2 linked regions of the Coturnix japonica genome follow. The protein of the gene in region 1 binds, or shares a complex with, the protein of each later gene. Links are inferred from orthologs where the notes say so. Each region holds a gene or a part of one and is shown in the gene's direction. Other genes may lie near its edges.

Region 1 (5,959 bases):
AAATAAATTATTTTGTTGCACTGTGAGATACATTATGAAATTCAAGGCAGATTAGAGCTACTACATCTCTTTTACAGAGAAATTAAATCAATCATTAGCTCGTATAAAAGATGCAGGTCAGTCAGGCATGAGCTATCTTTAGCGAATCCACATAGGTCTCACTCATTTTCATATTGTTAATTAAATTCTTTCCTTCACAAATTCTCTTGAGCTTTGCGTGCTACTGATGAAGCTCATTAGGCTGTGGCTGTGCATCTCCCTGTCTCCAGTTCTTTTAGGATACATTCGATGTATTTCAGTATCAAATCTGTTTAGGCAGAGGCAGAACACATTAACTAGTCTTGTTCTCAGGGCTCCAGGAGTTTTTTTTTTGGCTTGCTATTGCATCCAACCTGCATCATATTACAACTAGTATAAACTCAGATATAATGAAAGCCACAACCACTTTTGTCTCCAACCTATGTTTTTTTCTAAGTGGCCAACAAGAGCGAGGGCACCTTTATAGGTGTTCTTCCTAGGACACTCAATGGTCATTCATCTCTTAGCAGTATTTGGCAAGAAAGCAACCTGCTAAATATTGCAAGCCTTGCAACCCAAGGTGATCTAATTACATCAAGAAACTGATCCCACAAACAGATGCAGGATGCCTTGAGAAGGATGCATTATAAAATCATGCAGATCTCTTGGAAAAATGGATTTAAGAACACATATGATGAATGACCACTCCAAAGCTTTAGCCTCTGTTGTATGGCAATTTGTTTTACACATTAACATCCTGAGCTTGTTTAATTTCCTGAAGTACTAATAAATATTAACTCTTTGGTACCTTATACAAATGTGATGTTCACATCAGGACAAATTCCTGCTAGTCCTGCAGACTCACTGCAGGTTGAGCCCAACATTAAAGCTATCTACTGTGATAATAAAACAGCGATGTTTGGAGACGAGCTGGGGAACAAAATCTGATTCCTTCTTTCACTTTAGGGATGGAAAGACCAAGCATTCAAAATTACCCTGGAGCTTCACAACGTTTAAAAACAATCCAGCAATCATGTGATGAGAAGTTATTCATCATCTGAAAACTATTTGCTTTCCTGACCACAGCACGGCCTTCCAAAGTAGAAAACACAGTTTCCTCAGGTTTCTAGATACTGCCCAGTCACAGAACGTGGAATGACTGCAGGAGTTTAAATGCCAGATGTAATTCTTGATGTAAGACTTGAAGAAAAGAGTTTGAATACCAGTCGTTTGATTGGATCAAATGGCATTTTATATACTCAGTCTCAAATAAATAAATAAATAAATCATTCCTGCAACAGCCTCGCCAAGATTTAGTTAGAGAGCAAAGGAGGAAACGCAACGAGAGCACAGAATACCTACGAAACACAGCGGGCCTTGAAGACACACTGAGCGCCGGTAACGCACAGCTGTTGGGTGGCCCCGTCCCCTCCAGACAGCCCCGCGGAACCGCTCCAGCCCGACCCCGGGCCCCCCACAGCCCGCACCGGCGGGGGATCGCAGCAAGGGGCTCGTAACCGGCCCCCAGCCCGCTGCAGGCAGCGCCCAGCCCAGAACCAGAGGCACGCTCCCGGGGCCCAGCGCTCACACCCCTCACCTGACAGCCCTTCTTATGGTGGAAGCCCACTACCACGATATGCAACACCGGGCCCCGCGGAGGGGCGGCCGGCGGCGCGCCCCGCTTCTCCATGGAGCCCGGCGATGGCCGCTCCGGAGGATACCGCCCAGGCCGGGCTGTCGCTCCGCCTCCTGGTGCCGAAGGCCGAAGGGACGGACCCCAACCGACTGCGCTTCCGCAGAGCCCGGCGAGGGGAGGCGGAGCGGGGCCGCCCTCTTCCCCTTCGCCCTGCCCCCAGCCGCGCTGTGTCCCGGCCCGCCCCGCCCTCCACTCTGTGCTCTGTGCGGTGGGCGCCGAGCGGGAGCGTGCGATGAAACTGATATAGGAAAGTGCTTGGTTTTATTAAAATTAGATACATTAGGGGGCAAAAGATAGGCTATAAGGAACAATCCAGAACTAGCAAGCGAATGATAAGAAGGAAGGGTAGAGCTGCAATCAAGCAGAAGCTCTTAGAAATAAAAGAATCCTGCTGGAATTTTCTTTCTCAGTGTATATCTAATAGATACCAATAAAAACTCAGCCATATATACCAGAGCTGCTCTCAAACTAACGCCTCCTGTTTTATTATGCTGGCCCATGACATCAGAGGTGGATGTTGGTATGGCAGTAGGGGCTACACCTTCCTGCCGTTATATTCCATTATACTTTGTTGCCTTGTGACCGATGGCAGCAGAAGGGCAGTCAGACAGGCTGCCACCTGACATGGCAGTGTGTATAAACAGGAGCGGAACTGAATTCCCATTGCGGTCGGAGCCCAAAGGAGAACACGGCGGTAGAACGAGCGCTCTGCCTGCCGCTACTCAGGGCTGCGTCCCGCCCGCCACAGCCTCTACTTCCTCAGGAGGCGGCAGCCATTGGCCAGCTCTGGCGGCAATATGGCGGCCAACGCGAGCACCAACCCCTCGCAGCTCCTGCCGCTCGGTGGGCAGCGCTGCCGGCGGGTTCTCGCGTGGGCTCGGGCGGGGAGGGAGGGAGGCTGTGACCGGGGTGGGAGAGGCTGCAACAGGGGCTAAATCGGGATCTATGAGCGAGAAACTAAATCGGGATGTAACAAAATTAATTCACCCCTCTTCGTGTTGAGGGAATACGTGCTCCGGGTGTAGCGTTGCTGTTGTTTCCAGTCGGTCGGAGATGATGGAGGGTACCTCTGGGCTGATTGATTTCCTGCAAATACACTAATGCACTTTTGTTGTTTTTAACATCTACAGAGCTTGTGGACAAATGTATAGGTTCTCGCATTCATATCGTGATGAAGAGCGATAAGGAAATTGTTGGAACTCTGCTAGGATTTGATGACTTTGTCAGTATCCTTTGGTGGGTGTTATCTGTGGCCATTAGCTTCATGGGGAAAATCATTTCGTTTATTGTTAAGAACATTAAGCTGTTTGGTATCGGTTTTTTGCTCGTTAGTGGTTTTTGTTTGTTTTTTTATCGCTAAAATCACAGTTTGGTGTAAAATAAATTGCCCATCTCTATACTGCCCTTGTGAGGCCCCCAGCACAGGAAGGATGCAGAGCTGTTGGAGCAGCTGCAGAGGTGGGCTGTGAAGATGATCAAATGCTTCTGTTGCTGGAGGTGTACAAGGCCAGGCTGAATGGGCCCCATGGCAATCTGATCTAGTGGGTGCAGCCTACCAGCAGCAGGGGTTGCTCTGTATTTGGAACTGGGTGGGCTTTACAGTCCCTTCAAGTTCTATGAAAAGAAATCTGGGCCTTATTTTCCTTGAAACTGAGCTTTCAGATATGGTGTTAGAAGATGTTACAGAATTGTAAGTATTATTTTTGTCTCTCATTGCTATTCAGACTTGGGTTTCCTGAGAAAGAATGCGGTATAAGGTCTGTGCTATCACAGATACTTATAAACTGAGCAGTTTTGAATTGTTATTGAAAAAAATGCCAAGTTTTAGAGGGCAAATCTGTGTCTTTATATGCTGAACAAAAAAATACAGCAAATCTGTTTAGTTGCCAGGTAGCTTTCCCTGCCTAGTGGGTCAGTGCATCAAGATGATGTTGCAGTGTTATTTCCAGTAAATGTCATCTTAATATGTGGACTTGCATTGGTGCTGTAATCAGAACTTTATTCATTGTTGATGATTGCATGCTCATATTTTTTTTTCTAATATTGCTTCAGTGAGATCACACCTGAAGGCAGAAGAATCACAAAACTAGACCAGATTTTGCTAAATGGAAATAATATAACAATGGTAAGTCATCACTGTAAATAGTCTGCTTGTGTTTCTTTACCTGTAAATCTGATTGAATTCAACTACTTGAGTAGTTTCTAAGGCATATGGTTTATGAATGATGCTGGGAAAGTGATCTTATTGCTATATTTCATATATTTTATGGTTTAAAATGCATGAAAAGAGGAGCATGGGCATGACTATAGTTTTGGTATATGCTTTTTTGGTTTTCATAAGGTGTGTGAGGGAATCTTTGGACGAGTTTGGTTGACAAAGTGGCTTTTGACTCATGAGTGTCTGTGTAAGTCTGTGGGTTGGGATACATCTGCAGTTCATCCATTATGTATAGGTGTGTTTGCAGCAGCTCAGATACTTATAAGCTTGTTAAGTTACTTGACTATTATTAATCATTATCATGTGATGCCGGATGCTCTGGAAAAAAATAATAAGGTGGAGTTTTGTTGGACTATAACAAATCAGAAGCACTTTCTGGTTGTTACTCGCTGATGTGTATAGATCAGTACTGAAACAATACTGTAGTTAGTTGAGCATCACTAAGTGAATTCTGCATCTTTGTAGATACTTTACCACAAAAGCAGACTCACAGTACATCATTTGCTTTCCTGCACAGATGGGTGCAAAATCTGGACTTCCTGCATAAGGCAGTTCATGATTTTGTTAACAAGACAAGTGGAAGGCTGACTTGAGTCTATCTGTTCTGTGTGAATGGGGAATAATCCCCATATTGCTATCTCACCCTTCTGAGTAAAAGCTATTTTGACTTAATTTCAAAACCTTTTCTTGCTTCGGTTATTGTTCTGCATCTTTAATGCATTGTGCATGTTCTGACTTCTTGTGTGGGTAAAATAATTATTTTATATTATTATTATTTATATTATTTTAACAAAGGAGTTCCTAAAGAACATACATTTTTTTGTCCTTGTTACTCATTCCAAGGTGAATCTTGAAATTCTACAGTTTGTTTTTAAGAGCATTTCAAGAAGCATTTCTTCAACTGATTCTTCTCCAGACCATTGTTATGCTGAGAAGCTTTTTTGCTCTTCCTGACTTTTAGTGATAAGCAAAGCCGCTATATGTATACATGTAAGACCAAACCTTTCTATAGACAGTAGGAAACAAGCCAGCAAAGTATTTTCCTGTGAATAAAAGACTTAAGAGTAAATATAAAAGGAAATATTAAAAAGGTAAACAAAGGTAAAGGGGAAAAAAGATAAAAATCATTTATATTTTCTTAATAATGAACAGCACACTTCCAAAAGAGAAAGACCCAGGGTGCTTTTGAGTCAGATTCAGTAATTTTATGGCACAGTTGTAACATGTGCCCTTAAAAAAGGCGCAGGATCTCCAGTCAGAAGCATGGCTGGGTTTTGCTAAATATGCGTACTTTAAGGACCACTAGCTCCTGATTTAAGAGCAATATGCCACCAGATCAACTTCTGCTTTGAAGTCTCTATCTGCTAAAGTGTTTTAAAGGAAGAAGTGTCATTTATGAATTTGAATAACTCAAATCCATGTTGCTAACACAAAATTATCTTATTCTTTTGCAGCTGGTTCCTGGAGGAGAAGGACCTGAAGTATAAATTGATACAGATGTCATCTATGAAGACATGTTATATGTCATCTAAATAGAGCCTTGGGGGTCTGGGTGGATTTTTGTTGTTGTTTGTTTATTTACACACTTGCAGTTGACATTTGATGAAAAGCAAAGATTTCCTTTTCAGGAAAGGTGCATTGCTAATGCTGACTTTGTAAGTTGAAATCATGACTTTTTTGTAAAGACATACTGATTTGCTCAGAATAAAGGCTTTTGTTTTGTTAAGTGTTGTATTTGGTTATGTAAGTGCATGAGTTTGCAAAAGCTGTTTTTCTATACCATCAACCAGTTTAAAACCATGTTTCAGTTACTGTCAGCTTTCTGGTTTTCAGTTTATTGCATTCATTTATGGCCCAATCCTATATGAAATGCAAGCATATTTCTTAATTGGAATACAAATGACACAAGGCTGGATCCTTTGTTTAAACTCTGTTTCATCCTGTGGCACCAGAAACCATGTGGAAGAGTCTGGAAATGCTTGCCAAGTGAATGCATCTGTTTCTTGCTCAGCAGCCTTTTGGTTATT
Region 2 (5,646 bases), on another chromosome or scaffold:
TAACCTCCACTGACTTCAGTGGGGGCTGGGAGGAGAAGAGAAAGACAGACAGACTGTCTGTAAAGTTGAATAATATGAAGATGGTAGCAAAGATAATTCAAAAGGTTATTTGTAAAGGAAAACTCACCGATATCGATGCCTCAGCTGGGAAAAGCTGAGGCAATCTCCACCAGAAAGCAATCTCCAAGAGATGCTGCCTCAGTGGGGGTCAGCCCTTAAATGAGGTCTAGAGGAGGTGGAGTCGAGCTCCACCCCTCCCAGGAGCACAGCTAAATTACTCTCACCTGTGCTCCCACAGCTGACCCGACACTTGCCTCAGCTGATTAATCAGAGGTTCAGGCTGTGATTACCAATTTCTCATACACTGTCAAATCCCATTTCGTTTTTTTAAAGTTAACTGCAAATTTTAATGAGGTTCTCTGAACAAACATTCTGAGGTGCTTCACATTCAAGACTTAGCAATAGTAGACGAGCCCCCAGCTTCCATCATTAAGTTCAGCTGGTAAAGGCCACAGCAACTCTTCATGTTAGAACTTTGTCACCATTTATGTTTGAGGTGAAGAAGCTATAATGGAAACTTTGTGAGCTGCGAAGGACTGAAAACTCCCATTGTAATTTATGACCTTTCATCTGAGGCCAAATGTAAAGGCAATCACAATTGTTCTATATCTCAAGGCTGGCACATAGCAGATGTATGAAGTTTGGAAGTGTTAGACATAAACTTTTATTACCAAATTATAAATAATTTCTACCACTTACAATGTTCACCTTTCAAGTTCATCTTGATTAAAACACACGGGCAGAATGTCACTGATTTCAATGAGTTTTATACAGCTGGAAAAATGCTCTCTGCTTTGTGGAACGATAAAGCAATGCCATATTTTAAAGAATGTACTGATAGCAACGCATGCAAAGTTTTAGACCCAAATCCTTTTTCATCTAGATGACTGAAGCAAAAAGAAGAACCATTAAACAGTGGGTCTCATTTTTTCACACTCGAAGCTTTGAAATCTGCGAGGAGTCTACAGAATGGATTACATAATTCCTTTGAAAACCACCTACCTGAGCACTGGGATTGTGTGACTCAGGAAACAACACATTCTTTAGGTTGTGTATTTACAGTTGTGATTACATTATATAATCTTTGTGAATAAGCAAGAGAGAAATTTTCTTTCCCAATGCAAAACCCACTACACCAACATGCTCAGCAATGTGTCCTATTGCACAGAGGTTCATTTACTCAGTACAGCATGGAAGACTGTTTCAAGGCTTATACAGAAAACCAGGACAAATTTGCTAAGGTGTGGGTTCATGGCTCAGCCTCAAGCCATAGAAGTGGCGAGCTAAGGATACAACGTTGTCCATCTCTATTTCAGTCTTTCGGAATACATATGTTTGTAAATTTAGGACTAAAAAGGAAATTAGAAGGATTTTGTTGACTGGCATCAATGAACCAAGTATCCATAGACAGAAACGATAAAAATAGACAGAAACTATAAAGATAAGTTTAAAACGGACACAGATGAGGTTTTGCAGAGGTCAGGCCACAGCTGGGTGCAGAAGCAGAAAGCTGCTCCCCGTCCTTTGGCAGCAGGTGATCCCATCCAGCTCCTCCCTGCAGCGATAGAGGCGGCGCTACTCAGTGCAGCCACAACCCGCCCCGCTTTAGCGAGCGCGCCCGTCCCGCCGTGTCCCTGCCGCCGCGCCGTACCGCCCGCCGCTGATTGGCCGCGAACGCGGGGCCGGGCGCGCGTAGCAGCGGGTGAGTGTGAGCGGCGTTGTGTCTCGGCCCGGCCGCAATGGGGCACCGGGCGGCGGGGTGCGGGCCGGGCTGTGCCTCGGTGCGGGGAGCGGTGCGGAGGGACCTTTAAGCCCATCCACTTCCAGCCCCCTGCTGTAGGCAGGGACGCCTCCCTCTAAACCGGGTTGTTCGCATCCCCATCCAGCCTGGCCTTCAATGCCTGCAGGGTGGGATGTGCTGCTTATCCATATATCGGCTTTCACATCTATTCCCAGCGTACCGACACAAATCAAGATGAGCCTACGGAAGCAAACTCCCAGTGACTTCCTAAAGCAGATCATTGGAAGGCCTGTTGTTGTAAAGTTAAATTCTGGAGTCGATTATCGAGGTAAGATTCCACCTTGTCTGTGCAGTGAGATGTCCTGCTCCCTTTAGGCTGAGCCTCTCCAATAGCTCAGCCTCTACAATTATTTCTTTATCTCAGTCTTCGTTAAGTTTGGATGCTCTTATCATGCCTCTCCCATGAGGAGACAGGTGTTTTATTCTGGGATGATTTAAACGTTATGATCATGCCAGACATCGCTACTTCAGGTAGGTTTAATTCAGTTGGCTCATCTTAGTGCTCGTTTGTCCTTTGACAAGGAATCTTGGTGTTTGGACACCAGCCCAATGTCATACAGGAGTTATTTTCCTTTCTTTGTTTCCCTCCATTCTCCCTAACTCCCTCCTGGTGCTTACATTTGAGAAATGCACACTTCATTTCTCTACAGAAATTCGATCACTTGTATAAACCAAACATCAGGAAACCCAGCATCTCAGGCTTTTGTTGCAGATCTCTTCAGATTCTGCCTGTAGGCTACCCTTCTCATTTTATGTTTGCACCTCCACCCTCCCAGCCACTGTGAGCACAGCAGCTGCCTGGTTCTCACGTTGGTGTGCAGCTGTAAAATGTCTTGGTTCACTGCCAAGCGCTGTACTCATCTAAGAAGTCCTGGCAAAGTGCACGTGTAATCAGTTGTACAGATGGATATGAATGTAAAAACATTGCTGCATACTGATAAAAAACAGGCAAAATATGAGCCAGGGTGGGCAGCAACAGTATGTGATGCTATTAGTATTCTGGGAGTAAATACAAAGAAAAGAAAGACAACAATGAAAGAAATGAAGATGCACCCTGGCCAGTTGAGTGATAGCTTAAAAAAAAACCCCACAGCCCAACTTCAGCTTGGGGCAAACATTTGTTTTCTGTGGCATCTTGAAGCACTCAGGATTACTGGTGTGAAAATGTTGTCACTGACTTGGCTTGGAAGGTTTTGGTGTATTTAAAACACTTTGTGGCCAGACAGAATTTCCCCATTTATGTGGAAACAGGGATGAAAAACACATACAGGAAAATACCAATCCTCAAGCCATTACAAGTTGGCAAGAAAACTTGAATTCCTAATTATTTAATGGAGGATATTACAGTAACGCTTCTGGAAAATGAGAACATACCCTGGAGGAAGATTCTCAGACTGGAGTTCTCCCCCTCCTCAAATACAGCCAATGTACTGCATGTCTTCAGTTTTAATAGCAGGTAAATTAGATTCTTGTCCATTTTGGTAGTTGTATTTTTAATAGTGGTGTCTGTGTGCAAGGAGGAAGTCAGGAAACACACACAAACAAGATGGAGATGAGCAGCTTGTTAGAAGTTGTTTTATGTATGCAATTAGCAAATTGCATTGTGTACGTATTGCATTTTCTGAGCAGTTCTTCACATCCGTTAATCCCCACATTTAGTTCACTATGTAAATGTTCTGTTTGTACATCACTTAAATTTGGCTGAAGATTTCAGTGTCATATGAAAACCCTTTCCCCGTTGAAGATGTAGAATTGATTTACACAGAAATCACGCTGGCAGCCCATGTTATTCTGTCTATAAGAATGAAAATCACAGAATCACAGAATTGTAGGGGTTGGAAGGGACCTGTAGAGATCATCGAGTCCAACCCCCTGCCAAAGCAGGCTCCCTACACCACGTCACACAGGTAGGCGTCCAGGCGGGTCTTGAATATCTCCAGAGAAGGAGACTCCACAAGCTCCGTGGGCAGCCTGTTCCAGTGCTCTGTCACCCTCACCGTAAACAAATTCTTGTGCACATCCGTGCAGAACTTCCTGTGCTCCAGTTTCTGGAAAATAAATCAGAAAAATGTGCGTGGTGTCCTGTATTAGAAGGGTTATTTCTCACATATATCCTTGATGAGCTTTGGTCAAAACTCAGCTTGTAGCCTTGTTCTTAGGCTGCCCAGTTACACTTTATGTCACAGGTTCTTCTCAGGAGTTGGGCATAAAACAAAAGTAAAAAGCAACAACTAAACTTTCAGAATGGAAGATGTTCTCTTTCAAAGTCACGTCTCAGTGAGTTCTCCCCACCCAGTCATGTACAGGACCTGGAGTTCCCTACTCTCAGTTTAGTTCCTTTAATGCTCTCTGGGCTGCTGACTGACTCACCTGACCACATTTGGAAGTTTAGTTTGCTATGAAGATACAATTTTTTTCCTTGTACTGTTCAAATGCAAAGCCGTTTTGTTTAGTTCAGAAATAAGCTAAAGTTGATTCACTTTTAAACTATCACTCTCTTTAGGTGTCCTGGCTTGCCTGGATGGCTATATGAATATAGCTCTGGAACAGACAGAAGAATACGTAAATGGACAGTTAAAGAACAAGTATGGGGATGCATTTATCCGAGGAAATAATGGTAACTCCTCCTTCTTGTGCTGTATGTACTTTTTACAGCGCTTCTTTTCAGTGCCTGTGCTTTTCCTCAGACCTGGATGAGTTCTGTTCATTAGTAAAGGGGGCTGTTTATTATTAAAGATTCTACTAGAGGTTAAGAAAAATTACTTGCACTTCATTATTGAGCCTTGGAACATCCCGGTGCAGTAGGTGGATTGTAGTACACTTTAAGGACAATTAGCATCCTTCCCCAACACAAGAGAAACTTGCTTTAAACCATGGGCTGATGCTGTGCTATCAGCTAGTTAGGCTATAGTAGTGGGACATGCTAGGGAGAAGAATATCTAAGCATGGAAAAGGTTCACAGGTCAGATGTGAGGAGACTTGGAGAGAAGGTAAATGAAGCAGAGTCTGACAAAGTTACTAGGAAAGAGGGAACAGAAAGAAACAAGATCTGAACCCCACGTTATGTGTGTTGTTTTGTTTAGGAAAGAAACAGTCCTTGAATGAGGTCAAATTATTGTTTTTTTATAAGGAGTTTAGCTTGTTACAGTAAGGTTACATTGCAGCCAGACAATCAATTCTAGGAATAAGAATTTGTTAGGAAAGTTAAAAACAAATGGATGAGAGGCAGGAAAATAAAGTATAGGCTAAAGAACTTAAGACATTCCCTGTTTAGGAGCGTGATGTGATTTCATCACTTGGGCATTCAAAATACAGCCTGCACAGTTCCACTCCAAGGCAAAGGTGTTCCTACAAAGTGCATGGGAAGCACCGCATTACATGATGTTCTGGCAGCAGCAGCCAAGTAGGTGAAAGATGTCTGCTGGTTCATAGGTGCTTGTTAGCATTGCAGGAAGTGCTTGGGATTTCCATCTTTTGTTGAAAGATCATAACGTGGCTGTCCAACACCCTTAATTCTGCTGCTTAAAAGATTCTATCATGCTCTCCTTGTTAATGCTGCAGGGTAGCTAGGCTTATTCTCCCTCCGTGCAGTCTGCATCACCTGGAGCGTACCATTTGACTGTGAATTTAATACTGAGTCAAGTTAGTACATAAATCTGATAGCATTTCTTGGAGCCTGGACTTGAAAGTTCTTGACTTTGCTCATGCTGAACGGGATTAATTACACTCATTTTTAAAAGCCACAGAAGTAGTAAGTATTAAATAAACAGGCTTTGCACATTACT

The links. Proteins that work in one complex are often made in the same cells at the same time.
Region 2: LSM5 (region 1) and LSM6 share a complex: the UniProt entries of both Homo sapiens proteins name them as parts of the precatalytic spliceosome. The link is inferred for Coturnix japonica from reciprocal best matches to the Homo sapiens genes LSM5 and LSM6.

What each region holds. Positions count from the first base shown.
Region 1 is NC_029517.1:78,883,287-78,889,245, forward strand, and holds LSM5 (U6 snRNA-associated Sm-like protein LSm5), read left to right. Parts: upstream 1-2,421; 5' UTR 2,422-2,511; coding exon 2,512-2,557; intron 2,558-2,844; coding exon 2,845-2,940; intron 2,941-3,376; coding exon 3,377-3,404; intron 3,405-3,766; coding exon 3,767-3,839; intron 3,840-5,386; coding exon 5,387-5,419; 3' UTR 5,420-5,658; downstream 5,659-5,959. Other genes in the region: late secretory pathway protein AVL9 homolog, read right to left, coding at 1,616-1,708. UniProt on the Homo sapiens protein: Plays a role in pre-mRNA splicing as component of the U4/U6-U5 tri-snRNP complex that is involved in spliceosome assembly, and as component of the precatalytic spliceosome (spliceosome B complex).
Region 2 is NC_029519.1:27,572,067-27,577,712, forward strand, and holds the start of LSM6 (U6 snRNA-associated Sm-like protein LSm6), read left to right. Parts: upstream 1-1,768; 5' UTR 1,769-1,957; coding exon 1,958-2,129; intron 2,130-4,364; coding exon 4,365-4,478; intron 4,479-5,646. UniProt on the Homo sapiens protein: Plays a role in pre-mRNA splicing as component of the U4/U6-U5 tri-snRNP complex that is involved in spliceosome assembly, and as component of the precatalytic spliceosome (spliceosome B complex).